4 linked regions of the Elephas maximus indicus genome follow. The protein of the gene in region 3 purifies or fractionates together with the protein of the main gene of each other region. This does not show direct contact. Links are inferred from orthologs where the notes say so. Each region holds a gene or a part of one and is shown on either strand. Other genes may lie near its edges. The genes, in order: HIF1A, TAF5L, KAT2B and RARA.

Region 1 (7,976 bases), on a different chromosome or scaffold from region 3:
TAGCAAGGGCTTATTGTTCGACAGTGTTTTGGCAGAACTTCAGCAGGCTGTATATAAAACTTGAAGATGTGTCTCCTCTAGGGATATGTGATCAAATCTGAATTTTGGCCCCCAATAAAGAATAATTATATTAATTCATATCACAATCATAACGTGCTCAAAATCTAGTGGGTGAATTCTTAAAACTCCTACTATAGAATTCATGAATTTATAGTGTACTTTTCACTCTTTAATTTCATAAAAATCAAGTAAATCTAACCTGGTTTGAACTAAATTTTGAAATTGTTAGTCATTTATTTACAATGAACAGATGTAGTGTTCTGTTTGTGCAGCCGAAAAATGATGTGGGATATGCAAAATTAGAGTAGTCATCTACAAATAGTCAGGACAAGGAGAATAAAAATCATGTTTTTAACTGATTAGAAGAGTGGATATAGGTAGAAAGCAATTTTCTCTATTTGTAATTTCTTTGGTTGATAGCTTTCACAACAGATAAGGACATTGACATGTGGGGTTTACCCAAAGCAACGTCTGAAACTTTGTCTTTCTGAAGTTTCCAGCTGCTAAACTTCTCTTTTCTAACCTGCCTAGAGAAACCTAAATATATTTGCAATAAAATTGAAAAGATCCTTGCTCATAAATATTAATGTTAACATTAATTTTATTTTAAAATTAGTGCAGTTTTGCATTCTACTTCATTATACACCTGTTTATTTTATTATAAATTATCTTAAATATCAGATATATATGACCAGATAATTTTTTGCAAGAAACAAATTCGGTGCGTAAACAAAGCGTATACTATTCTATCATTTGTGCAAAAATGATAGGACACATAGGTCTTTTGGCATACTAATAAGATATCTCTGGTTAGATATATAAACAATTTGTAGCAGTGGGTACCTTCAAAGAGGAGGAAGAGGCAAGGGAGATCAGGGAGACTTAGTTTTCTGTATTTGTTCATTTGCAGTATTTGAGTTTTTTAACTACATCCTTAACATATCCACATATGGATAGCATAGCATTTCCATAACATAATATGTATGCTATAACATCCATAACCATGCACATATGTAGTTATGGCAAGATACAAAAACTTGACTTCAGAAGGGTATTCATTTTTTTTTATTGTACTAAAAATGTTGATCATAATTGAAATGTGCTAATGTTAAATTTTCAGTCGTCTATCATATTCTTCATAAACTGAGGCGAAATACATATTTATTTTGTTTTGATCCTTGAAACAAAAAATAAATAAATAAAAGATTTGCAATGCCTGCTATCTTCTAAGCGGATCCCTAGTGGCAGCACAGTGGTCAAGAGCTACAGCTGCTAACCAAAAGGTTGGCAGTTCGAAACCACCAGGCGCTCCTTGGAAACCCTATGGGGGCAGTTCTACTCTGTCCTTTAGGGTCACTGTGAGTCGGAATCGACTCGATGGCAACAGATTTTTTGGTTTTATCTTCTAAGCACTTTTCTTCCAAATTGTACCCTTTTTTGTTGTTGTTGCCAGAGAATACATAAAAGGGTGAGGGGGAACCCACCACCACCTAAGGGTAACAGTAAGCCAAGAATCACATTAGCCACTAAATCTTCTTATATAGTTTGATACACTTCAAATTACCTGAATCTGATGTTTCACTTTTCAAAAGACTAGATGTTCTATATTACTTAGTAGTAATATAAATTCCGGAGCCCCTGGGGGTGCACAAGGATAAGTACTCCACTGCTAACCGAAAGGTTGGTCCAGGTTTGAGTACACTCAGAGACGCCTCTAAAGAAAAGGCTGGGTGATCTACATTTGAAAAATCAGCCACTGAAAACACTACGGAGCACAGTTCTACTCTGACACACCTGGGGTTGCCATGAGTAGGAGTCACTCCACGACAACTGGTTAATATAAATTTCAAGTTTCACCTCGTTTGCTTCTCAATCTCTGCCCAACTTTCTACTAAATGCAGGTTAAATCATTTGCAAGTAACCTTGTAGTCACTTTAAAAGTTCTGCGAAGTGACTTGAAATGAACCTTGGACACTTAAAAAGATCAGAAAGTGATTAAACATACTTATAGTAATAACCTATACATTTATTAATAGGTGGCTGTAAAGGGAGTGATTTAAAATTTTATCCCACAGCAAATTTTGCTTTTTGGAATTCTGTTATTTAACAGGATTGATTGAATTAGGGATACAGTTAGGGTCCTCTGTAATTACATGAAAGCTAGTTGGTTGAATATTAATGTTTTCCATGTTCCTATATGTGTGTGTATGCTACTGCTTTCCATGTTCATGTTTGTATATACATACATACATAAACATTCACACATAAAATATAGTTTATACATTTTGGAAAGGAAAATTGAACTTTGGGGAATATGTTAAAATATCTTTTGGTGATTGAATGATGATCTTATTTAATCTTTTAAAATGATTAAAAAATTTTTAATGACTTAGATTTGCTCTTACAAAATACTCAACTTCTGATGTCACAGACATTATACACTACAGCTTTAATTGCTGGCCAGAGAGAACAGCTTATAAGAATAATGAGAAAGAAAACGACTGAAGATTTCTATAGCCATGGTCATATACAAGGATGGGAACACCATGGGCAGTTGCAGATTGGAAATAGAGAAGATATATGTGAATTTATATGAACCTAATTGACATGCTTGGATAGCAGAGGCACAAATTTGGGGGTAATAATAATGAAAACAAAACCAACAACAATACTAACAGCTAGCATTTATCAATTGCTTACTAAGTGCCAGGTACTGTTCTAAGTGCTTTACACCTATGTTCTCATTTAATCGTCCCATAATTCTATGGCACAGACCGAAAACTCATTGTCATCAGGTCGACTGCAACTCAGGTGATCCTATAGGACAAAGTAGAACTGCCCCATAGGGTTTCCAAGGAGTGGCTGGTGGATTCAAACTGCCGACCTTTTGGTCAGAAGCCGAATGCTTAACCGCTGTGCCACCAGGGCTCCATGGCACAGACACTTATCCCTATTTTACAGATGAGTAAACTGAGCAAGAAAGGTGAAATGACTCCCTAGTTAAGTCAGATATTCAAGCCCACTCTTAACACTGGAGCCAGTGTTCTTAACACTACTTTTGTGGAATATTAAACTAAAAGGTTTTATAACATCCAGAGTTAGTCGTTCCACAATTTAAAAAATGAATAATTATTTTCAGTCCTTTCCTCATTCCAGGCATTTTCCGTGGTTCTTTTCTAGAATACGTATCATTAGGCTTTGTAGATCTGAAAAACAAAAGTGATATTTGAGATCAATCTTTAACCTTATCTTTATGGCTCTAATTTAAAAAAATCTACTGACCAGTTAAAAACGGTTTAATGCTATCTTATATAGACCATTGTTTTTATGAACCAACATAATTGAAATCCGCCACAGATATCCACATTAATTAATATATAACCCAAAGCTAGACAGTAACAATATGCTGATATGACAAAGGTGAGAAGTAAAATCTAGTGTCAAGTGGAAATATGTATGTAATCCTTATTTGCTGAGTTCAAAATATATTCTTTTTTACCTTAAAAGACTGACAAAGTTAAACTTACGCTTTCAAAGTCAAAAACTGATTCTTAATCAGTGGCTGTCAAGATCACGTTAGTAATGAAGCAATACTGATCTCACCCTACGGAGTTAACTCGGGTTCCGTGGCCTCCCGCCCTAGGTGAGGGTTTGGCGAGTCCTTCTGTCTCTGTCTGTCTAGTCCACAGGGCAGTCAACTCAAGGCGGTAAGTCTCAATCTAAAGATTGTCTTCCACTTTTAATGAGGCAAGAAACCAGAACAAAAGTCTGTCTAAAACCTTTTTTCCGATTCCTTCCCTGAAGCTCAGATTTACGTCTCATTTATTAAGACTACTTACACCTATTTGTAAATGCTTTGAATAATTTCAGATGTTAAGATTTCTCGCAACGCTAACTCCTTCCCTTGAGAAGTTTACAATAAGAAGGATTTGTTTTAAATTTTTATTTGCATTTACTTAGTAATCAAACTCCACTGCAGAAACAGTGGAAGACGAGAGTTCCATTAGGTTCCAAGGCAGAGTGCGGTGACGTGGCCCGTGGTTGGGTAACCTGGCAAAGAAAGACCCCGTTGTAACATTTCTGAGCAAAAAAACCATGGGGCTTGCTGCCACGACGCCAAAAGTCTGCTTTTTTTGAACTGAAAACTCAGAAAAGCTGGGCGGCAACCCTGCCCAGCACTGCCCCAGGAGGGAAAGAGAGCGGGAGACTTAGATTACTGCATCTAGAGGCAGGAAATGTAATGCAGGGTTGGTACTCTGCAACCGAAATCCCTTTTCGGCACTGCCTCCCAAAGCCAGCCACTCCCCCATCTAGGAGTAGGCGCACAGTCCCCAGACTCGGGCTCAGCCTCCACCCAGGTCCTTTCTCTTTCCCCCGCAGCTGCACACAGACGAGCACGTGAGCTCTGGAGCCTGTCCCAGCTGTGCCCAGATGACCGCCGCCTGATTGGCTAAGAGCGACGTGGGCTGGGGTGGGGACTGGCCGCCTGCTCCGCTTGCCATTGGTTCGCGAGGAACCCGCCTCCCCCTCAGGTGAGGCGGGCCTGCAAGAGCGCGCGGCGGGCTCCGCGGGCGGGCGCGCTCCCGCCGCCCCGCCCCTCCCCGCGAGCCCGAGCGCGCCTCCGCCCTTGTCCGCCCCCTGCCGCTGCCCCTGCGCCTCAGAGCACAGAGCCGTCTGGTCTGAGGGAAGGCGAGGATCGCCCTCGCCGCCTGTTCGGCCAGTGCATTGGGCCCGGCCCCGACAAGCAACCCGCGGAGGGGCTCTTCCGAGCCAGCCTTGGACCTTCGCGGTTGCCGCCTCCTCCTCCCGCCTCTGGATTTGGGAGGGAATTCCCGCCTCGCAGCCCCCGCCTCTGGACCTGCCTCTTGTCTCTCCGCGTGTGGAGGGCGCCAGTGCTTAGGCCGGAGCGAGCCTGGGGGCCGCCGGCCGCGAAGGCATCGCGGGGACCCATTCGCCATGGAGGGCGCCGGCGGCGCGAACGACAAGAAAAAGTAAGCCCGTTCCCTCCGCCGGCCCCGTTCTCTACCGGCGCCCCCGCCCCGCGCTCGCGGGCGGGCCTCAGCTTTCCTGGGGGGCCGGCCTTTTTGTTTCTGCCTGTTCTCCCCCTCCCCTCTTTCCCCCACCTCGCCGGTCGGCTCCCCCGCTGTCCACGTCGCCATCTTGTCGTGGGGGGTGGAAGACACATCGAAAGTGCTTTCAGGGGCCGGGGTCTGAGCCCTGCCTGCGCGGCCTCCGTCCCTGTCGGCCGGGGCCTGCGGCGTCGCCTTCCTACCCGCCTCAGGCACCCCGCTGGCGTTCTGTCCCTGCTGGGACAGACTGTGCCCAGTCTGAAAACCCCGGGAAGAGAAATAAACCGCAGGTCGGTCGCCGCCGTTTGCACCCGGAGCTTCCGCTCCTTCCCGCCCCCCTCCTCTCGGCTTCCATTGAAAACTCGGCCCCGGGGCGGGCCCTGCACGCTGGTCCTGACTTCCCAGGGGGCTCGGGCCCGGGGCTTTCCGACGTAGGGGCTAGGGTAGGTGGAATGTGATCTTGCCCCGCACTAGTCCGGACGCCAGGGGTGTCTTTGCCTTTGTGCATTAGGGATTTGCCGCCACGGCCTTAAAATACTAACTTTTTAGTTTTGCACGTGCAGGTTTTGTTTTAATCGCCTGGAAAAACTTGCCTAGACGGAGAGTCGGAGCCACGGGAATTCAAAGAAATAACGTTTTAAAAAGGACACCAGGATTAAATACTGTGTTCCTATCACTTGTCACGAGAGCCCGACGTTCGAAATGAATATATGCCTCATTCATTCTTGAAAATATGGTAGTTGAAAATGTAGCGGCTAGTTAAATTTAGAGGAACAGTTTTATGGGGATTGAAAATAAAAATGTGACCAGAGCAAATGAAATGCAGCACTGAAATGTTGCGAATTTTTCCAAACCCTGCCTCATGGTCCTGAAATTGAAGTATATTAAAGGAGAACCTTCAAATACATCATAAGTAAATAATCATACTATTATAACTTACTGCAAGTTTATAAAACACCACTTGAAGTTTGAGTCCAAGGGGTACATTATAGAAGGATTAATTGCGACGGGGATGAACCAGCGGAATTAAAAGTGATCCCAGGCCCCTCCCCCCCAATTTGGTCCACTTTGGTATTGTAACCTTTGAGGAAATCATTTTAAGGAATTGAAGATTCAGAGTTTGTGGATAGTGGCCTGGATTTACGGTTAAGTCCTTCCAATGCTCTGGGAGAGATTAATTTTTCTAATCAGTATCAACGGAAGATAAACTTGTTTATATTCTTGTTATTTTGTCGATATCGTATCTTGGTCTTATTTAAATAGAAATGTTAGCCTTTCAATTTGCATATACCAGAGAAAGCACTCATAAAATTCAAGAAGTGGGCAAACAGAACAGGCCTAGACTTAATTCCAAGAATTGCCAGGAATTAATTGCAGTTAATTTTGCATAAGTGATTACCATGCTTTTGATGAAATGGTGAGGCTGCTACATTGTAAACCTAAGGCAGATTACCTCTGGGTAGTGCCAACTTTTTGTCCTTATTACACTTTGAATCCTACTTAATAAAATGTATTAAGTTATGCACCAGTCACTTCCTTTTTGTATGGTATATTATACTCATTTTTTTTTTGCAGTTGATCAGTTGAGAATATTATAAGCAACTTTAACATGAATTAGCTCCTGTGCATCACCTCCAATTTTAAAGGAACTCTTAGATTTTCCTCTTTCCCATCTGTCATTTAAAATTAAAAAATATATATCATTTTGAGCCTTAGATTGGTTAATCAATCAGATTTAACAACCTTGGATCAGATTGATTCATATTTCTCTATATAAACAAAAAACGCATTGGCCATCTCATAGCGACCCTATACAAGAGTAGAACTGCCCCATAGGGTTCTTAATGTAATTGAAAAATTAAGTTGAACATTTAAGTGGTAGCAACTGAGCAACTTTTGTTGTTATTGTTATTAGTTGAAGTCGAGTCAATTCTGATTCATGGTGTACAACTGCTCCAGGGTTTTCAAGGCTGTGACCTTTCAGAAGCAGATCTAAGCCAGACCTGCCTGTCTTCCAGTACACCTCTGGGTGTGTTCAGACCTCCAACCTGTGAGCTGATAACCCATTGCTGTGAAGTTGATTCCGACTAATGGCGACCCTATACGAGAGTAGGACTGCCCCATAGGGTTTCCAAGACTGTAAATCTTTATGGGAGCCACATCTTCCATGGAGCAGCTGGTGGATTCGAACTGCTGAGCTTTCAGTTAGCAGCCAAGCACTTAACCATTGTACCACCAGGGCTCTTTTTTGGGCTAGTAGTTGAATGCTTAATGGTTTGGCCACCCAGGGATTCCTTTTAAACCAAAAAAAAAAAAAAAAAAAAAAAACCCATTGCCATGGAGTCAATTCCAACCCTATAGGACAGTAGAACTGCCCCATAGGATTTCCAAAGAGCAGCTGGTGGATTTGAACTGCCAAACTTTTAACCACTGCACCACCGGGGGTCTTTTGAGATGTTGGTAAAAGATGCCTTTTTTAATTCTTTTCTAACTAACAATTTTAGAACTTAAAGATAATTGAGGGATTGAGGGCCAGGAATTTCCCATATATGTATTGGGAGTGAGATAAGGGGAATAGTCTAGGATTCCATGCGATTTTTCCATTTTAAATGAGTATCCAGAGTTGGAGTGGGGAAATTTATCTTTTTTAAAGCAGTATTGGTTTAGGGAGGAAAAAAAATTTGAAGGATTGGAAGAAATCAGAACAGAGTGGATATGGTTATAATAGGTTTAACATAGGTCATTTTATGTTGATTCCTTAGTTCAGGAACTGCACTTAAAACACATGCATATAGGATTTTAGATTTCAAAGGAATGTGAAGAGATTCATTGTTCTGTCAGACTTCC
Region 2 (8,009 bases), on a different chromosome or scaffold from region 3:
TCCACTAGTGTTAAGAATGAAAAAAATTCAACCTCCACTGTCATTTTTGAAGTTACACTAATGTGGCCTTTGCTTACCTATCTAGACCAAATTCTTGGCTTTCCTCACTCTACCAGCTGGTCCCAACCCACGTCCTCACCTCGGGGGCTTTGGTAATATCCCTCCATTAATCAGAGTCCCCCCTACATTGGCACTCAAACCTGGCTTGGCTGAATTCTACTCATGCTTCACAGCTCAGCTGGGCTTTCTTGATCACAGGCCCTTCCACCCACTGCACCCAGGAACAAACCTTTCTCACAGCACTCATCATACTAGGCCTGTTTCTTATACTACCACCACGACTAATACCTAACATTCACTGAGGCATACCACGAGGAAGACACCATTTAGGTGCTTTACACAGATTCTCTCCTTTAATCCTTACAACAGCCCTATGAGGTACGTACTATTTTTCAAATGAGAAGGCCTAAGGAGTGAGAAAATTTGTCCAAGGTTATGCAGTGCTGGAACTCAGGCCATTTGGCTGCAGGGTTTGAGCTCCTACCCTTTACAGAATCCTGCTATTTAAAGGATCCTACTGTAGACCAAGGGCTTCTTGGGGGAGCACAACAGCAGCAGCTTAACAGATGCTTGTTGAGAGAACAATCAGTGCAGCACATGGAAGAGAGGCTGGACGCTTGAATCTGGTACAGTCCAGTAAGTCATGCTAGTTAGGCAGACTATCCCCTTGGCCTTTCCAGCTAAAACAAATGAACAAAAACCAAAACCCCTCCCTGCCCCCAAAGATGTTCTTTATAGGTCCTAGCATACCATTTGCAACAACAACAACAAAGTTACTGAGCAGTGAAGTGAGTCCTTTACCTAGTTTCAGAATCACAGAAACACACACAAACCCTACATTTAGAGACAGGAACAACAAAACTATTCCAAGAGACACTAATCGTTGATGAAAAGGAAAAACACTCAAGGCAAGCCCACCTTTTGCTTTTCTAGTTAACACTGATTTTCAAGGCAGGGAGGATTTATAATTCATAAAGAAAACCAAAGCTAGTATGCAGCCCACTTAACACAAAAAACTTCAGCCTACAAAGAACCCAGAAGGCATTTTGCAGAAGGAAATTATAATAGCTGATACTTACAGAGTCTTTCAAATGTCAGGTATTTTCGCAGTCTTTTTTCCCCTAGATTTTATTTATTTTGTTGTTGGTGTTGAGAACATACGCAGCAAAAGATACACGAATTCAACAGTTTCTACATGGACAATTTAGTGACACTGATTACGTTCTTCGAATTGTGCAACCATTCTCACCCTCCTTTTCTGAGTCGTTCCTCCCTCATTATCACAAACTCACATGCCCCCTAAGGTTCCTATCTGTTGTCGGTTTGATCCCACACAGATTAATTCTCTAAAGCGCGCACTGCTCAAGGCAGGCCTTTTTTACTAGTTAAGCTGTTCGGTTTTAAGATGACTTCTGGGGATATTTTTGGTTTAAGGTTTAAAGACTATCTCATGGCAGTAGTTTCAGGGGCACATATTTCTTTGTTTCTCTTTTTTTAAAGTCCACTTGTAAATTATCAGGCATTACTCCTTTTTGCAGATGAGTAAATTAAGGCCCAGAGAGGTTACACAGATGGATACATAGTTTCAACCCTAGGTCTACTTGGTTACCAAGTTCTATCCACTCATGAACCTTCCCACAGTTTAAAGATATGGCCCGATGCACTTACCCCATAAACATAAGTTAAATTTCCCTTCCTACTCCACTTTCAGCAGGGCTGTGACCAAGGCTGTGGAGCCACCTCGTATCGCCCTCCTCCCCATCAAGTACTCACTTGTATCACCTAACAGGAGGCAAACTCCGCCCTCACTGTCTTCTCAACACAGCGCCCAACTGTTTCTTAGCGGGAGTTACCACTGAGAGATTTGAATCTGCAAGGTCAGAGTTGAGGTAATTTAAGATGAACGCTAAACGGAACTGGCAGACTTACTTTCTGATCCCAAAACAATACAAGTTGTGAGATCCACATTATAACAACACTTTCACAACTGATAGAATTGCATAAAGCGTGCCTGTACTCCACTTCCGCTAAGTCTAAAATGACACCACGATTTCTAACCATCAACTCATTTCAGACCGTCTTATCTGATCATATTTTGAAAAGCCCTGGAGATTTGCGAGTAAAAGGTGGTAAAGTAAGACTATCCCCTAAACGTACAAATGTTAAGCAGCTGTCATTCGTTAAAAAACCTAGAAGGCAGCCTTGCAGGTCAGTATCCTCCAGCAACTAGTCCGACTCGAGATCTACTGTGTCGCACGCAGGAGATGGGTCTCACATCCATCCACGCGCAGTTACCATGTGCTAAGTTTCATCCTGAGTTTGTCCAAAGGACACTTCGTTTTTCCTTTAAAAGAAGAAGAAACGCGGCTCTGGGCTCTGGTGCGCGGCGCGGCGCGCTCGGCCGTCCAGCTCCGACCCCTTCCCCGTAGCTGCCTCCCTCCCATCAGCTCCCCGGCCCCGGAGCCACCCGCAGGACCAGCCCCGGGCGAGAGCAGCAAGCGCCTCCGCGGAACGCAGGCGGCGGCGGCGGCCGGGCCCAGCGCGGCGCGCGGGGAGCAGGCTCCGGGGCTCCGCGCCTCCCCGCCCCCACGCGGCCGACGGCAGGCGGCGCGCCCCGCCTAGGCCTCGCGGCTCCGGCCCGGGACACCGCCCGCCCGCGCGCCCTCCGCGTCGCGCCCGCCCGCCCGCGCGCCCCGCACTCACTGAACATCCCAGGCGGCTCCGGCTCCTCCCGCCGCCGCCGCCGCCGCCGCCGCCGCCTCCGGGATCGGGCCGCTTCCGCCTCCGTTGTCTCTGCGACAGGTCCTCGCTCCGACCGCCGGCTCAGCCGGGCCCCCGCTCCCCGCTCCGCGCCGCCAGCGCGGCGGCTCCGGGCGGCCGCTCCATGACTGACTGACACGGAGCGGGCCCGCGGGGCTGGGCCGCTTGGCCCTCAACGCGCAACCGTCTCCGCCAATGGGCGAGGCGCCTCGGCGCTCGGCTGGCGATGCCTGGCGTGCCCGACGTCCCGCCCCCGCGCCGCCCCCGCCGGCGTCGGGGCGGAAGAAGCTCGGGGCCGGGTCTCCCACGTGGTGCTGCCGGCGGAGCCGCGGAGCCGGGCCCGGAGCGGGCGGCCAGGTGAGCGCCGACCCCCGGGCCGCAGTGCTGAGCGCGGCCGGCGGGACTCGCTGCAGCTCGCCCTTCTCCTGCTTGCGGCGACTCCCTGGGGCTCCTGCCGTTTCGCTGGGGCCGTGTCCTAGCGCCTGGTGCTAACCGGGTCGCTGCCGGAGCTGGACTGCTCTCCGCCGCCCTGCCAAGACGAGCCGAGCCCACCAGAGCGGGTCGGGCGTTGGGGGCCCTGGAGTGCGCCCCGGGCGTCCTTAGCCAGTGCAGCAAACGCTCGTTAGGCCCCTGGAGCCGGCGCGATGGCAGGCGAACGTGGTGCGCTTAGAAGTTTAGGAGATAGTTGTTCAGTTGGTGTTGAGCGTTTTGACATCACAGAGAAACTGACAGGACGTGACTGCACCTGTTCTCGGCAGTGAACCGATTGACGGGTGCTGTGCGGACCTTAAATGTTCCTCAGGGTTCGCTCCTTCGCCACGCGCTTACTGAGAATACCTTCTGAAGGTCTCGAAGGCTTCGGAACCCTTGGATTTGAAAAACGCTGACTAGATCCAGCCAAATGCTTTTGCTTTGACAGAACTTAGATTAGAATCATAGGGCTGCAATCTTTTTTGGTATTTGTGTTCTACTTTGTTTTTATTTGTGATGATTTTACGGGGTATCATGAAAAATTTTCTCTCTTGAACAGGCTTGTTTACTTTTATATAAGGGAAATGATTTAACCTGGTATGGTTCCTTTTTTAACTGTCAGGGAACTAGAAGCCAAGTTTATGTCAGTTTTATAATTGTAGGTGGTTGGCATGTTTGCTTTTTTCCATGAATTTATTGCATTCTATTTTTACAGCTTTTAATTATATGCTTTTTGCAGTCTTTTAGGAAGCAGTGTGTATCAGTGCTTTTAAGTTTATACATAAATGAATAAATTTGTGGTGGGAAATTACTGATGCAACTAAAATCATGATATTTCTATTGGGATTGGGTTAATATGTTTCTTTTTCACTTGGGGAAATATTACCTTCTCCCAATTGTAGCTTCTTTATTTCTTTGACCTGTTTAATGGAGCTGGTACATACCCAAGGCTGGTGGCGTAGTGATTAAGTACTACGGCTGCTAACCTAAGGGTCGGCAGCTCAGATCCACCAGGCGCTCTATGGAAACTCTATGGGGCAGTTCTACCCTGTCCTGTGGGGTTACTATGAGTCAGAATCGACTCGACGGCACTGGGTTGGGGTTTGGTACTAATACATAGTGCATAGTGTATTTTAGAAAATTTGTGCAAAAGCTTAAATTTTTTTTTTAAATTTAAAACCATGTTTGACAAACCTCTTTCCACAAGTAATTGAAACAAAATGTTTTCCCCAGCTGAATTCTTGAACACTCATTTCTGGGGAAACTCTTGAGTTTGAGGACAGCAGGAATATTTATACATGTGTGTGATCCATATGTTGCTTGCTTTTGTTTGAATTTCCACCAGAAAATTTTTGGGTTCAGGCATCTTATGTGTAGATCTATTTTCAGAAGTTTTGTCAATGTGCTTTAGTTCGTTAAATATGTTATGTTGGAGCCCTAGTGGCACAGTCATTAAGTGGTACAGCTGCTAACCAAAAGGTCAGCACTTCAAATCCACCTGCCACTCCTTGAAAACCCCATGGGGCGGTTCTACTCTGTCCTATAGGGTCGCTATGAGTTGGAATGGACTTGATGGCAGTCTGGTTTTTTGGGTAAATGTTATGTAGACAATAAGGTATACACTATTCATTTTCTGGTGCTTGTTGAGTTTGATCATATACAGCGCTTTTTCCATTGGGGTTTTGTATGTGAGTGTATTAGGTTAAATTTACACACAGCAAATTAGGTTCCCATTTAACAATTTTTGTACAAATTATTCCATGATACAATTTTAACAATATATCAGTATTCTCATTATTTCAATTGTGTTTGTTCTCTTTCCATTGATCTAGCTTCCCTTTCCCTCCTTACCTTTTCATCTTTGCTTTAGGGTAAATGCTGACTGTTTGGTCCCCTATGTTGTTCTTAGGTGCCATCAGGGCGTTTCCATGTCACAGCGACCCCGTGTACAGCAGAACGAAACACTGCCAGTCCTGCACTATCCTCACAATCGGTGTTATGCTTGAGACCATTGTTGCAGCCACTGTGTCAGTCCATCTCGTTGAAAGTCTTCCTCTTTTTCGCTGACCCTCTACTTTACCAAGCATGATGTCCTTCTCCAGGGACTGATTACTTCTGACTATATGCACAGTCCTCGCATCTGAGGAGCATTCTGGTTGCACTTCTTTCAAGACAGGTTTGTTCGTTCTTTTGGCAGGCCAAGGTATATTCAATATTCTTCGATAACATCATAATTCAGAGGTGTCAGTTCTTCTTTGGTCTTCCTTGTTCATCGTCCAGCTTTCACGTGCATATAAGGCTATTGAAAACATCACGGGTTGGGTCAGGCCCACCTTAGTCTTCAAGGTGACATCTTTGCTTTTTAACACTTTAAAGAGGTCTTTTGCCTCAGATTTGCCCAGTACAGTGCGTCTTTGGTTTCCTGACCACTGCTTCCATGGGTTTTGATCGTGGACCAAGTAAAATGAAATCCTTGACAACTTCAATGTTTTCTGCATTTATCATGATGTTGCTTATGGGTCCAGTTGTGAGGATTTTTGTTTTTTTTATGTTGAGGTGTAATCCATACTGAAGGCTGTGGTCTTTGATGTTTATTAGTAAGTGCTTCAAGTCCTCTTCACTTTCAGCAAGCAAGGTTGTGTCATCTGCATAACGCAGGTTGTTAATGCGTCTTCCTCCAATCCTGATGTCCCGTTCTTCTTCACATAGTCCAGCTTCTTGGATTATTTGCTCAACATACAGATTGAATAGGTATGGTGAAAGGATACAACCCTGACGCACACCTTTCCTGATTGTTTAAGGGAGCGCGTTGCTCACGGTTGATATTGTTTATTTTAAAAGCCAATCTACTATTTGGCAGAAAGGTGACCTCCAGAAGTAGCTTCAGTTCCAAGTTCAAAGGGTATTTTTGGGTGATGACTTTTTTAGGAGTTTGAATTTCGTTCTACATCTTTCTCCAATTCTATCTGGGACCTTCTATCGTGTCCCTGGTCAGAACAGTCGGTAGTGGTAGCCGGGCACCATCTGCTTCTGGTGTCAGGTTAGAAGAGGCCATGATTTCTGTGGGCTGTTAGTCCTGTGGACTAGTTTCTTCTTTGAGCTTTTGATTTTCTTCATTCTCTTTTGCTCCACAGGAGTAGAGACTAATAGTTGTATCTTAGATGGCTGCTTGCAAGCTTTTAAGCCCTCAGACGCTACTTATTCAACCGGGATGTAGAACATTATCTTTATGAACTAAGTTATGCCAGTTGACTAAGTTGTCCCTGAGACTATGATCCCATGCCCTTTACCCCAGTAAACTGATCCCATGAGTTGTTTGGATATATCTGGGAAGCCTCCATAAATGTGCCCATATGTGCTTTGTTATGGATCTATCTGCAGCACACACAAACATGTATGTACACATGCCTATAGATAACAGCTTGTTGCAGCCACTGTGTCAGTCCACCTCGTTGAGGGTCTTCCTCTTTTCCGCTGACTCTGTACTCTGCCAAGCATGATGTCCTTCTCCAAGCATAACAGCAATTATAAGGATGATTTAGGACCGGGCAGTGTTTCGTTCTGTTGTGCATAGGGTTGCTATGAGTTGGAATCGACTCGACGGCACCTAACAACAACAACAACACAGATACACCTATACGTGCACATGCATTTACTCACCCATGCCTTCTTACACACGTGTGCATACATATCTACCTACGTAACCACGTATTTTGGTTCTTGTTACTGTTGTTCCAAAATTATGTGTGTTATAGCATTCACCAAAATTGTCCCTTTTTCTTTTGTATTTCTCAGTGTTTTTATTTACCTTGGTCAAGTTGTGCTGACTTTACCCATATTTGGTATTGCCTTTCCCTTCACCAAAAATAACAAGTATCTACTATCCAGAAAGTGATTTCCCCCTTCTCACCCTCCCATTCCTGGTAACCATCAAAGTGTTGCTTTCTGTGTGTATGTCTGTTCTTGACTTTTTATAATAGTGGGACCGTATAGTATTTGTCCTTTTGTGATTGACTTACTTCAATCAGTATAATGTCCTCCAGGTTCCTCCATGTTATCTGATGTTTGGTGGACTCCTCGTTATTCTTTGTAGTTGCATAGTATTCCAGTGTGTGTATGTACCATAATTTATCCATTTATCTGTTGTTGGGCACTTAGGTTGTTTTGCTTCTTTTTGCTATTGTGAATAATGCAGCAGTGAACGTAGGTGTGCATGTGTCTATTCGTGCCACTGCTCTTACATCTCTTGGATATATACCTGGGAGTTGGATTGCTGGATCGTAAGGTATTTCTATTTTTAGCTTTCTGAGGGAGTGCCATACTGTTTTTCATAGTGGTGGTACCATTTTATAATCCCACCAGCAATGTGTAAGACTTCCAATCTCCCCACGACCTTGCCAGCATTTGTTTTCTGCTTTTTTTTTTTTCCTATCATTGCCATCTTTGTGGGTCTGAGGTAATATCTCGTAGTTTTGCCCTATGGGGCAGTTTTACTCTGTCCTGTGGGGTCGTTATAAGTTGAAATCAACTGGATGGCAACAGGTTTTTTTTTAATGGCTAATGATCATGAGCATTTTTTCAGGTATTTATAGGCCCCCTGAATGTCCTCTTTGGTGAAGTGTTTGTTATGTCCTTGGATTGTTTGTCTTTTTGTTGTTAAGTTTTCTATGTATTTTAAAGATCAGTCCCATATCAGATATGCATTGCCGAAGATTTTT
Region 3 (7,594 bases):
GGGGCTTTTTACATGAAATATAGAGACAAACAGAAAAAAACATGGATTCTGCTCTCTGGCACCACCTCACACTCAACCAAGCCCCTTTAAAACAAAAAGAAAATCTGATAATGTCACTCTCCAGGTTAAGATTCCCAGATGCCCCAGTGCCCTCCTGGCCACACCCCCCAACCTGATCACCTGGCCAGTGGAGGCCTGGCTCCTGCTGGCCTGGCTCCAAGCTTTCAGCACAGCTTTCAGTTTCTCCTTCTCAAGAAGTTTCACCCCACCTCTCTGCGCTATAGCAAGAGTTCTTATAGCACCCACTGACACTTCCTCCAGGAAGCCATCCCCACCCTTCCCCTGGTACCCAGTGAACTGCCCTGCTCTGGTTCCCACACCACTCTGAGAAAGTAGTTTTTCCAAACTTTATTGTAACTGCTTCACTCTCCAACTCCCCAAGTCCTGAAGACAAGAGATGCACACTCATCTGCACGCTGTCCAGCAACACCATGATAGATTCTGGGTGTCTCAGCCCCAGCACAGTACTTGGCACCCATATGGGACCCCTCTATATTATTTACTGAATGAATAAGTAAATAAAATTTGATGCTTGCAGAGTCTCCCAAGAGCAGGAAGGTAAGTCTCTAAAGGAGATATGAGAGGTTTTTTCCTTCCTGTAAGTTTGGTAGTAAATGGAAACATGAAGCTCAAGTCACAAACTTTAGAAAAGGTACTACATCTCACTCATGGAAATTTGGAAGGATCAAAAATACCAGTGCAGGGCACATAGGTTCCTGGTTTTACACAGAACCAAAACTTTAGGAAGTCATCAGATATTAAGGCAACAGCCAGGGAGCAGAGAGAAAACGTGTTTACGATGGGAACCCAATAAAACACCAGGACAGAAACACCCAGCTGACGCAGTCGCTACCTGAACTACCTGAACCAACCCCACCTGCAAAACTCCAACCCCACTGCATAATTGAACTTGTTCTTGATTTTGCGTATAGCTCTCTCATCTGCCAACTACACTCAAGGTCCTGTTCTCACTATCCTGTCTAATGCCCTTCATAACCAAACTCCTAGCTTTGCCTTTCGTTTTTTTTTTTTTTTTATCTTTTTTTGCATTCCTTCTTCAGAAATACCAACCACATGACATTATCACTCTACAGTTCCAGTTTTCTTGGCTGAATTCAAAAGGGACTAATACCATATTATCCAGGTCTGAACTAGATCTTGCTACCTTGGAATTGAACCAGCATTGCATCGCCTGGAAATTTGTTACAAATGCAGAGTCTCAGGCCCCACCTCAGACCTAGTAATTCAGAATCAGCATTTTAATACTGGTGATTACCATGCACATTAAAGTCTGGGAAGCACTGTACTGGTTCCTACATTCACTCAGCAAATATTTATTGAATCAGTGTAGGGTACACAGTAGGTGCTCAATATATATATGAGGATGGTAATGGCTGGGATGAGAGCAAACACAGACATTTCGTGTAAATACTAAAAAAGCATCACCAGGAGGGTCAAGATATTCTAGCTGGATGAATAACCGTTACACCAAAATTCAGAAGTGACCATTGTAGCGCGGTAGTGGCAATCTGGAACCCTGGAAACTTGACCCTGTTTGCAGCAGGCGGGAGGAATACACGGGAGGTGGTGAGTGCCTGTGAGTGTGTCTTCCCCGCCTCAGCCACAGGCCGCAGGAGCTGACAAGGCCAAGTCCCCGCCCCCCTCAGCTGTCACCCTGTCAAAACAAAGCCGCTGCTGACAGCGCAGGGCCAGCTTGCCCCGCGGCCTCGGGCAATCGTCCCTCCCCAGGAGTGCAGCCCCTACATCTGGGTCTACAGCTGGGGGGCCATGGGGCGCCGAAAGCTGGGACGGAGAAGGGGATGGCTTGAAACGTGTGTCCTCAAACTGAGCAGCAGCGCCCGCTGCGCTGGGCTGTCACCTCGCCAAATCCTGTTTACACCCCGAGCAGCTGGGACAGCATTTTAACTAAACAAGTAATAATACAATAATGACAGTGCTGTCACCGCGTGCCGCAGAGCCTCCCCCCCCCCAGGCGCTCCAGGACCCTCTCCTTGGGCTGTGCCCACCTTCCCATCCCGCGCGTTCCGTCCCTTCGCTCCCCAGGTGCCTGGAGTTCGGGAGCCTTTTCCACCCTCACTCCTTGCACCCATCCCCTCCCAATGGGGCAAGGGGCAAGGCCAGGCTCACAGGGGGTTGCTCAGTCCCCAAGATGCTTCCCTGGCCCTGGGGCGCCCCGCCACACCGTGAGCACCATTGCACTCTCCGGTAGGCGCCTCTGGCGAGCTCCTACACAGCGACAAAGCCCCAGGGCAGCCCGGGAGCTCGGAAGCTAAGGTTACTCGGTCCGAGAGGGAGAAATGAAGAAAGGGCTTTCGATCTTGGGGATCCCCCTTCTCCCAACCCAACAGGACTCTTATCCAAGAAGGAGCTAACTGGGCGCGGGCGGCAGCAGCACTTCCGCGGTGCAGAGGCCCCAGGCGGGAGGCGGGAGGCGGGAGGCGGGGCGGGGCGGGGGCGGAGGGAGAGGGGGCAGGGGTCCCCCGGAGCTGGGCCCCTCGCCCCCACCCGCGGGCTGGGAGCGGCGAGCCGGTACCTTGCAAGCGGAGTACACTCCGAGTTTCTCCAGTTTCTTGGCCCGCGGAGCGGAGCGCAGCTGCGCCTTCTTCACGGCGATCCGGGCCGAGCCGCCGCCTCCCGGTCCTTCGGCCGTGCCCGCCGCCGCCACTGCCGTCGCCGGTCCGCAGGCGCCCGAGCCCCCGGCGGCGGCGCACGGGGAGCCCTGCGGGGGCGCGGGCGGCGGCGCGGGGGGCTGCGGGGGTAGCGCCCCGGGCCCGGCCCCCGCCCCGGCTCCTGCCCCGCCGCCGCCCGGCCCGGCCCCGCCAGCTTCGGACATGCCGGCCCGGAGCACGGCAAGAGGCGCCGAGTGTCAGGCGCCGCCGCCGCCGCCAGGGTCTCCCTCTCGGGTCTGGTCGCCGGGAGCGCGAGACCCTCCCCCCACGCCCTCCCGCCCCTTCGCCCACCCCCCTCCCCGCCCCCGCCCTCCCCCGCGCGCCGCGCGCCCCGCTCGCTCCGGCCGCGGCCCGCGCGCTGATGGTGGCGGCGGCGGCAGCTGCGCCCCAGGAGGGAGGGGACTCGCGGCCCGGCTGCCGCCGCCGCCACTGCCGCCGCCGCTACACACGCCCTGGCCCGGCTTCGCTCCCCGGGGCTGGGCTCCGCTCGGGGGCCGCGGACATGTCCTCGCGGCCACCGACGGGGGTGCTGGGGTCGGGGCGCCCTGGGCCTCTTTCCGCTCCCCGCGGGGTCTGCGCCCCCTGCCCCCAGGCCTCGGCACCTAGCGCTCACCCGGCAGGGGGCGAGGCCAAGCTCGGGCTGGGGGGTGAGGGTGGAGTGGAGGGTGGGGGTAGGGGGCTGGAGCCCAGGCACCTGCTGGCCGCCTCCCCCCGCCTTGCCCGGCGGCCCCTCCGCCGACCCTCGCGCTCCCGAGCCTGGGGCAGGGGCGGGGGACTCCAGTCGTTTGTCCTGCCACTCCGTCCCACCCTCCCTCGGAGCGAGACAACTTCCTCCACCCTAGCGGGAGCCCGAGGAAAAAAAATATTTTTGAAAAGTACCCGTCCATGCTAATCCTTTCTTTGTTGCTAATTCACCAAAATAAAAGACTTGGTGTTTTCTTTTAAAATACATTTCTGTCAAACTTTTTTTTTTTTTTAATTAAAACGCTTTCTTCCTATAGCAACTTCTGGACCAAATCTGCCACAAGAGGGAATAGACTGTTATAGACTGTTAATCAATACGTTCGGTAGGTTTTTTTTTTTTTTTTTTTGAAAGTGCTGATAGTTAGAAGAACGATTGCCTAAAAGCACTGTCAAAATAAAACTGTGCTAAGCCGGAAAAGTTGGAAAAATGTTAGGGTTCATCATCATTGCCATTTTCTTTTTTATAATTTTCCTTAGTTTTTAACTTTGATGCCACCAGCATGCATATGAACCGGAAAAAAAAAATTGTTTAAGCAGCGTCCAAAGGAGAAGTGTAGATTTTGGCCTCAAACTTTTTTTTTTTAGCTGAACTGTGAGTTTTCAACTCATGCTGTTGCTGGCCTGGAGGGTGGTGTTTTGGAATGTTCACTCCACATTTCAGTTTTGCATTTGAAATTCGTGCCAGGTCGGCCTTTCGAAGACTTTTTAAAGGCCCACTGCTGTTTCTCAGTATCCTTCAGAAGTGCCCTAATTTTGCAGGGCGAGTGTTATCATATGTAAAATGGGTCATAATATGCTTATCGGATTCTTCGGATGCCTTCTAGCTCCCACCCACCCCCACAGGAGGCCAGACACGCCTTAAGCCACCGTGTTTGTCCCCGGGAAACAAACATATTCCTTCCCCTCCTTCCTCCCCCTCCCTCTGTCCCCCCTTGAATTTTTTTCTATCCTTTTTCCCAGATTTTCTTTGTTCTTTTGGCTTTTCATGCAGAGGGGTATGTAAAAATTGAAAAAAAAAATAACTTTGTACGTTGAAACAGTGATGTTAGAAAGGGCAAAAGGAAATTTCCACTCCTAATTTGAGTCCACTCTGAAGGTCTGAAAGACTCATCAGTTTCCATCAGGACAGTTAGTTCAGTGCTTCCTTTCTTGGCTTAAGGTGCTTCACTTGGCTCTGCTGAAGTGTTTTGCAATTTTTTTTTCTTTTCTTTTCTTTTTTTTTTTGGTCATTCTTGCCAAAGCAGGATGGGAGTCTTAAAAGTCGTGATCCTCTAATCAGACTTTTCGAGCATCAGAATGTTAGCAAATCTCTTAAAAATCCTCGAGCAATATCACGTAGTGATTTGGGTTAGAGCCCTGGTGGTACAGCGGTTTAAGAGCTTGGCTTGCTAACCAAAAGGTGGGCAGTTTGAATCCGTCAGTCGCCCCTTGGAAACCCTGTGGGGCAGCTCTACTCTGTCTTCTAGGGTCACTATAAGTTGGAACCAATGGCAATAGGTGTGATTTTTTTTGGTTGGTTTGGGTTACATTGTAGACACTGTCAAACTCCTGGAATGGTCTACTTGAGATCTGTGCACTTAATTTGATGTAAAGTGAATTTCAAAAAAATTTTCTGAATCATAAACAAATACTGAACTCCAGTTAATGATATGCATGCTGAAAGTTTAGGGGTGCAGTGTACCGACATCTACAACTTATTTTGAAATGCATCAGAAAATAAGATGAATTGATGCATCCATCAATGGGCACAGGAGTGGATGAACAGATGTGTGATAAAGCAAGTAGGGCAAAATGTTAATGGTAGAATCTAGGTGGTGGGTGTTCACTGGATAATTCTTCCAACTAATCTGTACGTTTGAAAATCTTTATAATAAAATGTTGGGAGAAAAATCTACCTTTAATATTAACTTACCTCTCACAACTACTCCTAAGCTACTCCCAGAATTCAGGAAGCAGGCTATTCCCAGAATGTTTTGAAGCAGAAGTAACCAGCCTCATTTCAAACCACTCTGAAAACCATCACTGTCTGAATGGTGAATGGCTTGTGACATCAACTGAATATGATTTTTCATTATTTTCCTGCTCAGAGCATCCAGATGACACACTGCCTTAGGCTGAAGGCCCACCATTTTAAGGCATATTCAAAATGTGTTATGAGCACCAGGCAGGGAAATTTCAAAGGCAAAGGATGCAAGAGCCTTATTGCCTCTTCCTAATCAGGCTAATAGGGTCGCTATGAGTCGGAACTGACTCCACGGCACCTAACAACAATCAGGCTATTAAGAGCATTTAGTAAGCTTTAAGCTTTCCTGTGTGCACAGCACTCTGTTACCCTGTAGATACCAAGAAAATAAAAGACGATGTTTCATTTTAAAAACATTTGCAACTCACTGAGGTAAGGATGCCACAAAAAAGAAAAAAACAAAGGCACAGGGAGTGAGAATTATAGGGGGCGGGCTGACCACTAAAGGTTACTTGTGGTATATTTATATTACAGAATATTATGCAGCTGTTATAATAGAGTAGCCTTTATATTGTATCAATTCAATAACAGCTCTCCAAGAAACACTGTTGAATGAACCCTGGTACAGTGTAATACTATTTATGTTAAAAACAAACTCACATTGACATATAAATGCAATTCTGTGAATGTTCAATCAATGCAAATAAAAATGTAAAAGCAAGAGAAAGATCTAGAAGGATGCATGGCAAACTCTTCAGCGTAGTTTCATGATATGGGGGAGAGCAGAGCAAGGAAGGTAAAACAAGAGGGGATCCAGAACTTGAGCCTTATTGGCAACATGTTAATTTCAGATTTTTTTCCAAATTTTTTTCAAATACGACAGCTTTATTGAAATGTAATTAACATCCCATAAAGTCCACCCTATTAAATTGTACACATCAGTGAGCTTTAGTATGTTCACTAAATTGTACAACCATCATCACAATCAATTTTAGAATATTTTCGCCACCCCAAAAAGAAAACTCTCAGCCTGTCCTCCCTCCAGTCCCTGGCAGCCATGAATCTAATTTCTGTCTCTATAAATTTGTCTCTTCTGGACATTTCATATGAATGGAGTCACAGTACGTGGTCCTCTGTGACTAGTTTTTTTTTTTTTTTTTCACTTACCATGTTTTCAGGGTTCATCCGTGTTGTAGCATGAATCAGGATTTCAGCTGTTTTTATAGCTGAATACTATTCCATTGTATGAATTTAAATGTTGCTGAGTGGCACAAATGGTTTGCACTCAACTATTAAGCTAAATAAATCTGTCTTGCAAGAAGCAGGACCAGAATGCTCCTTAGAAGCAAGGACGCCCACACTTTGGACCTGTTATCAGGAGGGATCAATCCCTGGAGAAGGACATCATGCTTAGTAAAGCACAGGGTTAGCAAAGAAGAGGAAGACCCTCAATGAGATGGATTGATACAGTGGTTGCAACAGTGGGCTTAAGCATAGCCCTGATTGTGAGAATGGCTCAGGACTGCGTAGTGTTTCCTTCTATTGTATGTAGGGTCACTATGAGTTGGAACCCACTCAATGGCACCTAGCAACAACAACATTAATCTAAAGGTTGACCCTTCAAACTAAAGCAGGCAGTCATGAAAAGGTTATTAAGCATCCCATCATAGTTTTTCAGAAAAGTCTAATCTTGCTATGTTTTTGTTACAACTTTTACAGCACTTCGCCATGATCGGTCAAATCCACAGGTTTCTTGTCTTCTCCTGGCAGGAGGCCAAAGCACAGGAGCACAGACTCCGAATCTACCCACTACATGACCTTCCCGGGGGTGGCAGGAGCAAGCCGATGCCATTTTTTCAGGGCTCTGCCCAGTATTTTTAGAGCAGTGGGCAAAAACCCATTCCCTAAAATTATGGGGGCTGCACACCTCAAAGGACTGAAGATCGTCCCCTCACTGTTCATGCATATGTAAGTCACTCCCTATAAAGGAGCAAATCTGCCCTGGTCCAGAGTGCTGGCATCCTTAGGTCATGAGACCCTGCCTGTCTCCCAGTTTGCAAACTGTGAATAAACCTTTCTGTTCTTCCAACCCTGTGTCTGGCTGACTTCAATTCGCTAGTCTGCTTGACAAGAACCT
Region 4 (7,658 bases), on a different chromosome or scaffold from region 3:
CAGGTGTGTAACCCCAGCCCTGAGAGCACCTGTGATGATGCTCAGAGTCCTTCCCTTCCAGAGGAGCATGAACCCAGATAAGGCAGCAGGTGAGCAAGGTGACCAGGCCACCAGGAGTCCTTAGCAGCATCCCTCTTAGGAAGTAACAGTCCAGTGACTGGCCCTATCCCTGACTGTAGAGAGGGTAACAAATGGAAACAGCAGGGTTGAGAATAGATGCATTCCTCAATTCCAGAGTAGCCCCAGACCCATAAAACGGAACTTCTCCCCAGAGAACAAACCAGACTAGGGGGAGGGGGGTTCTCCCCACCAGAGCAGCTTCTCACCACTCCTGGGACAGGAGTCTCAAAGATGACAACCAAGTGTCTAGGGCCAGGACAATCCCTAGATGGATCAGGTGCCCCTTCCCAAGGTGTAAGGACTGGTTAGGATGGCAGCCGGGTGTCTGATCAGGTTCCCCTTTCTGTCACACCCCACTGCCAGCAGCACTCCCCTGACACTCTACTGTCCAAAGAGCAGGGGCTGGGGGCAGCAGCTGCTGCACAGGAGGGGGCTCTCCCTCAGACCTTGGTAGGAGCAGAATCTGGGAAGGAGGCCCCTCCTCCTCAGAGCAGGCAAGCCCACAGACAGGACCTTCACCCCTCCCTCTAGGGTGGGAGAAAGGACCACTCAGCTTCAAAGCACTGGATTCTAAGCAAGAAAATATAAACTGGGGGAAAGGGGCTTCATTTTCCCTGAAAGAAGTGGGAGGAGAGAGGAACGAATGTCTCCTGAAAGAAAGAACCCCCAAAGTTCTTCAGACCTAACAAAACAGAAACAGCACCCAATGGTTGGTGGCTGGCGCACCAATTGTCCAGCAAGGACATCTGAGTTTGAGCAAACGGGACTAAGGAGAAAGTCAAGGGTCGGAACAAGCCACCAACGTGCCCCAGGCTCGCATCCCTGGGTAGGAGTGAAGGCCCCGCCACCCATCCCATCAGCAGCTCCTACAATGAGAGAGGGGAGGCCGGTACGTACAGTGGTTTGAGCCATTCCAAAGCGGAGTCCGGAGCGGGGTGGAGTAGGGGCCCGGGGCGGGAAGCCCTTTCTCCGGGAGCAAACAGGCCCGGTTCTGGTTATAAAAATCCACCACTAGGAAGGGGTTAGCGGAAGGGGTGAGCCCCCCCACTTCCACACTCTCGTACATCTTCCCCCGCGAAGACAAGAGGTCCGGGCGGGGAAGTCCTGCACCGCCCTCTCACTCAGCCGTGGGCGCCATCCGTGGAAAGCCGCTGGGGGCGAGGGACACGTCCCCCCACCTCTACTGGTGGCCCAGGCAGGGAGCCGCCCCCTGCCCTTAAGTCCCCGAGTCTAAGTCCGCTGGCAGTTCCACCAGTCCCAGGTGAAAAGCGTGGAAGTTGTGCGTGCTGGGGGGAGGGTGTCCCTCGGCTCTCCCAGGGAATGCCTGGCGGAGGCCCGGGAACTCAGCGGCTTCACCTCGAGGGGCTCCCGTCTCAGTCTCCTCGTGTCCGAAGCAGAGTCCACCCGCTCCCCAAGTCCGCAGGCAGGGGGTGGGATTGGCGCAGGGCGGCGGGAGGGGGTCACCGAGCACTTCCTCCTCCCAGCCGGGGCTCCCGGGCTTCTCCGGGTGAGGATTCCGGGTGGGGGTGGGGACCCACGCGGCTCCGCCTCCACCGAGGCCCGGGGTAGCAGCAGGCACCTCGCTGGGTCCCCAGCAGTGCCCGCCGTGCCCCCTACCCCCAGCACAGCGAACCCCCTCCTCTTCAGGCCCCACCCCCTCCCCTCCACCCCGCCCGGTTCAGGCACCGCCCCTGGCTTAACCCTTCCCTAGCGGGTCTGGCTGCAGAGGGCAACACGCTGGGAACCAGGGAACGACAGGGAGAGGCGGGATGTGGACAGGAGAGGATTGGGAGCCTGGGAAGGGGAGGAGAAAAGAGGGGGAGGAAGGGGAGAAAGGCACAAGAGGAGGAGTAAGCAGAGTACAGATGAAGGCAGGGTACCAGGAGAGGAGTGGGCTGCGGGGCCGAGGCAAGGACAGACGTGGGAGGGGGTCTTCACCCACCCCCGTTCTGCCTCCCGGTCTCCCAGATGGTTTGGTCAATACCCTGCCAAACCAGGGGGGAGCAGGAGGAGGCGGTGGTGTCTCGGTGTCCGCCTCCTAACACACACCCCCACCTAGCCTGGGTCTCATTTGCCTAATATAATACGGCTGAACTCGCCTGGCGGTGCCTCACCTCCGGATGACCCACCCACCGCCGCCCGTGACAACACCCGCTCACCACCGGCTCACCAGCCTTGCCCCGGGGCTGGCCGGCCGGTCTCCTGCCCAGCCGGGCCTGGCCGGCTCCTCCATACACTGGGAGAGAGGACACGGGAGGGTAAGGGCTGCGGTGTGAGCGACCGAGTGTTAGCGCCAGGAACGAGGCATGTCGGGTGTCCGGGGTGTGACACTGCGTAGCCGGGGCGCTGTGTCGGAATGAGACACCCGGCTTGTGTCATTGTCTGTGACATCATGTGTGACTCCGGCTTCCCGCCCGCCAGAACCCTACAAGGCAGCGCGGGCGGGTGCTGTTGGCACACACACACATAGAGGGGGCTCTCCTCCCTAAGCTCTGCTCTGCATGCTTCCTCCGCCTAGAGTGTCTCCCAGCCCAGGAACCAGGATGGGGGCCCCCACCTCACAGTCCAGCCTTGGAGAGAGAAAAGGAGGGGGTTGGTGCCTTCCAGCTGACCACTTTCTCCCAGAAGCCCAAGGTTGCCTATTTCATTTGAATAAAAACCAAGGTTAGGTAGCTCCCTAGAAGGAGGGAATGACCCTAGAGGAGGGGGCATCCCATTACCCACCTCTTACCCTGTCGCCAAGCTCCCTCCCTCTGAAAAAGAAAGGAATGGGAAATTACATGCTTCCCAAGGATGTTCTTCTAGTAGCCAGGTTCTTCATGTATGTTGTCATTTAATCCTTACAGGAACTCCAAGACATAAATGGGCATTACTCCTATTTGACAAATAAACTGAGATCTCCGCAAAGCTACGGGTGGGTGTTCCCAGGTCACACTACCAATGAAGAGCACAATGAATATCTGAACTTTCTGCTGCCAAAGCCCATGTTCCCACCATGCCAGGCCAACTGGATTGTATCTCAAGAAAAACTATTTTCTGAGCACCTCCTATGCGGATACCCTGGTGAGCAAAACAGTCCCTGACCTTGTATACCTTACAGAGCAACAGACATTAAGCAAATAATCACAAATTATATATACATACATGTATACATATATATATATATCTAAAACACACCAAACCCATTGCCATTGAGTCGATTCCAACTCATACTGTCCCTAAAGGACAGAGTAGAAGTGCCCCATAGGGTTTCCAAGGAGCGCCTGGTGGATGTGAACTGCCGACCTTTTGGTTAGCAGCCACAGCTCTTAACCACTACACCACCAGGACATATATACATATATGCACACACATATATATAAATGCAAACTGAGACAAGTGCTATTATGACATAAGCATAGTGTGCTTTAAAGGAAAATTAATGGAGGTACCTAATTTAGGTTGAAGGATCAGGGAAGACCTCAAAATAAAGCAGAAACCTAAAGAAGGAGTAGAAGTGAACCAGGCAGAGTAGGACAGAGTACCGTCTCAGTAAGAGTGTGTGCAAAGGTGCTGGGGTTACAGAAGTTGGTGAGTTAATTCAAGGGACTGACAAATGACCAGGGTGGCTGGAGCAGAGAATTCAAGAGAAAAAGGGATACAAGAACAGGTGGGCTTGTAAGGCCCCAATAAGGCTTTTGGATTTTATCTTAAACGCAATGGGAAGCCACAGAAAGGTTCCAAGGAGGGGAGAGGCAAGATCAGATTAATAGCCCCAAAAGATATTCCTAGCAGCTGTGGAAAGAATGGATTGTAGGAGGGCAACAGACAAGTTAGAAGCTACTGCAACAGGTCAGGCAACAGAAAATGGTGGCCTGGGCTAGGAAATTAGCAGTGGTGATGAACAGAGGAAGGTGGGGTCACGAGATCCTTTAAAGGTAGAATCAATGTGGGGATGGGAAAGGAGGTAGCAGAGAGGACGTTCTGGTGTATGGCTTATGCAACAGCAAAGTTCCTCCTGAGACCGCAAAAGAGAGAAGTCCACTGGGCTATTGGGACAGGTGGGTGTGGGACTCAGATATGAGGTCTGGAAGGCTGGGGCCTGGAGCAAGTATGCAAGCATTGGGAGTATATGAGATTGCCAAGGAATCACAGACCCTGGTATCTTTCCTCCCAAATGATATAGCTCCTGGGTACCAGTTATGCACCAGGCTCTGTGTTCAGAGCTACAAGGCACTAAGGGACCCAAGACCCTGTCCCTGCCATCAAAGAACTTATGATCAGGGACAGGCCTCCCAAGTGATAGCAATTCACAGTAGGAACAAGACGGGGTAGTGTAACTAGGTGGTAAATGAGTGTTATTTGAGAAAAAATAAGGACCCATAGGCATGCAAGGAAGGGGGAGACAGTGTGGCAAAAAAAGGGGGAAACATTTGCAAAGGTTTCTGGGAAGAGGCAGCATGCAAGATGTTCCTTAAAGGATGGAGAGTATTTCCAGAGCAGGACAGGAGGAGAACCTGGGGGTGTGGGGTGAGATGGCTGTTCTGGGCAAGAGCAAGGTCGTGCAGTGGGTCAGAGCAGAACGCCATGTCCTAGGGCAGTGGGAGAGGAGGGAAAAAGGCAGTTCTGGGGCCTGTTTCAGCCGCACCCCCCTCCAGGGCTTTGCGTTTATTAGGCCCTCAGCACATGTGGGCTGAGCTGAACTGGCCACCTTATGCCAGGCAGGGTTCCCTCCTGTCCCCAACCCTATCTGGAGGCCCAACAAACAGGAAGTCATGAGGCCCGGTGCCAGGCAGACATTGGGTCCCAGTACAGGGTGACTATCTCCCAGGACAATGCCTAGCTCCACCCCATCATCACTGCCCTTGCAAGATACTTGCAGCTCATCCAAGCCCTCGCCAGCAAGCGCTGGCCAGCAAGTGGGTCACAGTGGCCTCACAGCAACTGGCCCAGCCAGGAAGGGATCTAAAGAGGAGGAAACAGACTCAGAAAGAGGTAGGGCGACCTGCTGAAGGCCGAGCAGGAAGAGGTGTCCTTTAAGACTTCTGCCCAAGGGAGCTGTGGTCTATGGGCTAGCTGGGGTTTCCAGCAACCCAGAAATCAAAATGAAGTGGGAAGGGCCTCTATTTTTGACCTAGCCAGTACTGTGCCCACGTTCCTAGGAGGGGGAAGAGGAGGGAGCTGGAGGAGGGAAGCAGTCTGAGCCACCCCAAAATGATTTGGAGAAGAGAAGTACTTCCTCCTTCCTCAGATGTTACCCCCAAAGGGCAGTCAGGCCCTGCATGGGAGTAGCCTCAGGAGCATATGTCAATTGGTATGGGGTGGAGAGGGCGACAGGCTTCCTTTCCTTTGTCCCCTCCCCCAGCCCTTTCTGGGATCCTGCCCATGAGGGGGCCGCTGCATTATCAATGCTGGGAGATAAAAGGTGAGGGGCCCCATTTTCATTCAAAGCCCCAGATCATAGTCTTTTGGCTGATTCTGCATTTTGGACCCTATGAAAGCCTTTGCTAGGCAATACCCCCTCCCCCTGGGCTGTCCCTCCTATTGTCCAGGGAAAGAGTAGGGAGAGGGAGGGAGGATGCACAGGCAGCTGGCTTGGGAAAGGCCCCAGCCACCTTCCTCCAGGATGCCTTCCCTGACTGCAAAGGGGAGGAAGTGGCAGAGAAGGGGGACAAGGAGAAGGGGCACACCCAGAGATCCTGTGGCCATCCCCCAGTCCTAGGCACACAGAGCAAGTATGTGGACAGAAAAGTCTTGATCCACTCTTTTGGGGCTCTCATCACCTGGCTCCTCTATTGAGTGCTTCCAACTTCCCTGCCCCTACTCCCCAAATTGAAACAAAATAAGAATAACAACTGTGGCTTTTCCATTCTGTTCCTTCTGTGTCTGTCTGGAAGGAGGGTACCCACTGAGCTCTGCAGACTCCACAGGCTACAGCGGGCAGACTCCGGGCTGGGGACGGCTGCTAACAGACTGTATCTGCAGCTTCCAGGATAGGATGCGGATCTTCCTGGCCTCTAGTCTCCCTTTCCCTCCAGCCTCAGCATCCAAAACAGAGAAGAGGGAGTGTGGCCTGGGTCCTTCCCTGTGCCCCCTACTGGGGAAGACAGGGGTCAGACTGAAGAAGCAGGGTCTCTGCCATGGGGCAGGGGTGTCAACAATGGCACTGACCCCCCAAGGCTCTCCACACACAGGAGTGCCCCCACAAGCCCCTCCTGCAGCTATCAACCCCACAGACCCAGCTCTGCCCTCACTTAGCCTCTGCCAGCCCCGGTTTCCTCATGTGTAAATGGGAACCAAGCCCCACTCCCAGGACTGTAAGGATTAAGATTTGTACAACATATACAAAGTCCTCAGCACACAGTAGGTGCCCCACAGATGTAGGTATTCCTTCTCTCCAGTTCCCACCTAGAAAGGGCCTGAATTCCTTTTCACTACCACGTGGTAGGCGCTGCACCCCCACCATCACACACAAGGCTGCAGCTAAGGTCATTACGTCTATGTTCTTGCCTAATTCTCATCCTCTAAGGGAAGTTCTCGTAATATTCTTGTTAGGCTGACAAGGAAACATGCTAAGAAAGGTTACCAACACATAGCAAGCAGCAACGCCAGAACTCGAACCCAGAACCGGCACCAATATCTAAGCTCTTAACCACTAAGCCACACTGCGTACTCCAAGCCCCCAGTCAGACCCCTTTGCCCCTGAATTCTGAGGGCAAGCAACAAACAAGGCAGGGCAGTTTTCCTTTCCAGCCTACAAGAGCGACTCATTAGGGGGAGAGTAAATGGGAGTACGTAGTAAGGTGTATATAAGCTTATATGTGACAGACTGACTTGATTTGTAAACTTTCACTTAAAGCACAATAAAAATTATTAAAAAAAAAAAAGGAAATAGAGACCCTCCCTCCTCAAACACACATATAGCAATCCACATACCACTCCCCTTCATACTCTATGCCCTAAGCTACCCCACCCCAACCCCAACACACCAACAAGCTGAGATCCCCTCCCTGGTGCTTGACTTGATTCTTCCAAAACATGCTCAACTCTCTGACCCTCTCCACCCAATACACACAAGCCCATTAACCCCTTTCCCAACACACACCCAACCTTGACCCCTCACCCCTAAAGTACACATAATCCTGACACCCTCTCCCAAAGCACACAGAACCCTGACCCTTCCCACAATGCACACAGAATCTCAAACCTCCACAGTAATTGCCAGTCCTCGAGACTAGGTCCCAGCTAGGGGCTGGTTTGGGGGGCAGTCCTGCAGCATCTCTGGGGCCTCCTGCTCTAGCTCCCTGGGAGACTGGTAGCAGGACAAACACCCACCCCTCCCCACAGTGACCTGGAGAGGACTTCTGTTATCCCACAGGCCACTGGGTCTCTGAAGGGTATACCCAGAACACCAAAGGCCCAGCCCCCTCCCCACTGGGGGAAAGAAGGTGAGATGAAGGAGGAACCACCTCAGCGCCTTTGTTTGGTGGGGAGTAGGATAAAGAAGCCTCGTCAGTGAGGTTCCCTACAAAAAGTTTGTTGAGGACCAGAGCATACTA

Evidence for each region.
Region 1: the proteins of KAT2B (region 3) and HIF1A purify together in Homo sapiens (affinity purification with western blotting; 4 studies listed by BioGRID and IntAct, with this or other methods). This does not show direct contact. The link is inferred for Elephas maximus indicus from reciprocal best matches to the Homo sapiens genes KAT2B and HIF1A.
Region 2: the proteins of KAT2B (region 3) and TAF5L purify together in Homo sapiens (affinity purification with mass spectrometry; 5 studies listed by BioGRID and IntAct, with this or other methods). This does not show direct contact. The link is inferred for Elephas maximus indicus from reciprocal best matches to the Homo sapiens genes KAT2B and TAF5L.
Region 4: the proteins of KAT2B (region 3) and RARA purify together in Homo sapiens (affinity purification with western blotting; 3 studies listed by BioGRID). This does not show direct contact. The link is inferred for Elephas maximus indicus from reciprocal best matches to the Homo sapiens genes KAT2B and RARA.

Annotation. Positions count from the first base shown.
Region 1 is NC_064828.1:74,095,461-74,103,436, forward strand, and holds the start of HIF1A (hypoxia-inducible factor 1-alpha), read left to right. Parts: upstream 1-4,967; 5' UTR 4,968-5,016; coding exon 5,017-5,051; intron 5,052-7,976.
Region 2 is NC_064821.1:210,299,837-210,307,845, forward strand, and holds the start of TAF5L (TAF5-like RNA polymerase II p300/CBP-associated factor-associated factor 65 kDa subunit 5L), read right to left. Parts: upstream 3,016-8,009; 5' UTR 2,764-3,015; intron 2,405-2,763; 5' UTR 2,359-2,404; coding exon 2,356-2,358; exon of another isoform or gene 1,140-2,355; intron 1-1,139. UniProt on the Homo sapiens protein: Functions as a component of the PCAF complex. The PCAF complex is capable of efficiently acetylating histones in a nucleosomal context. The PCAF complex could be considered as the human version of the yeast SAGA complex.
Region 3 is NC_064845.1:19,719,321-19,726,914, forward strand, and holds the start of KAT2B (histone acetyltransferase KAT2B), read right to left. Parts: upstream 3,003-7,594; 5' UTR 2,915-3,002; coding exon 2,615-2,914; intron 1-2,614. Other genes in the region: uncharacterized protein LOC126068496, read left to right, coding at 3,112-3,642. UniProt on the Homo sapiens protein: Functions as a histone acetyltransferase (HAT) to promote transcriptional activation. Has significant histone acetyltransferase activity with core histones (H3 and H4), and also with nucleosome core particles.
Region 4 is NC_064837.1:47,497,840-47,505,497, reverse strand, and holds the start of RARA (retinoic acid receptor alpha), read right to left. Parts: upstream 3,012-7,658; 5' UTR 2,833-3,011; coding exon 2,678-2,832; intron 2,475-2,677; exon of another isoform or gene 2,467-2,474; coding exon 2,291-2,466; intron 1,748-2,290; exon of another isoform or gene 1,187-1,747; coding exon of another isoform or gene 1,018-1,186; intron 1-1,017. UniProt on the Homo sapiens protein: Receptor for retinoic acid. Retinoic acid receptors bind as heterodimers to their target response elements in response to their ligands, all-trans or 9-cis retinoic acid, and regulate gene expression in various biological processes.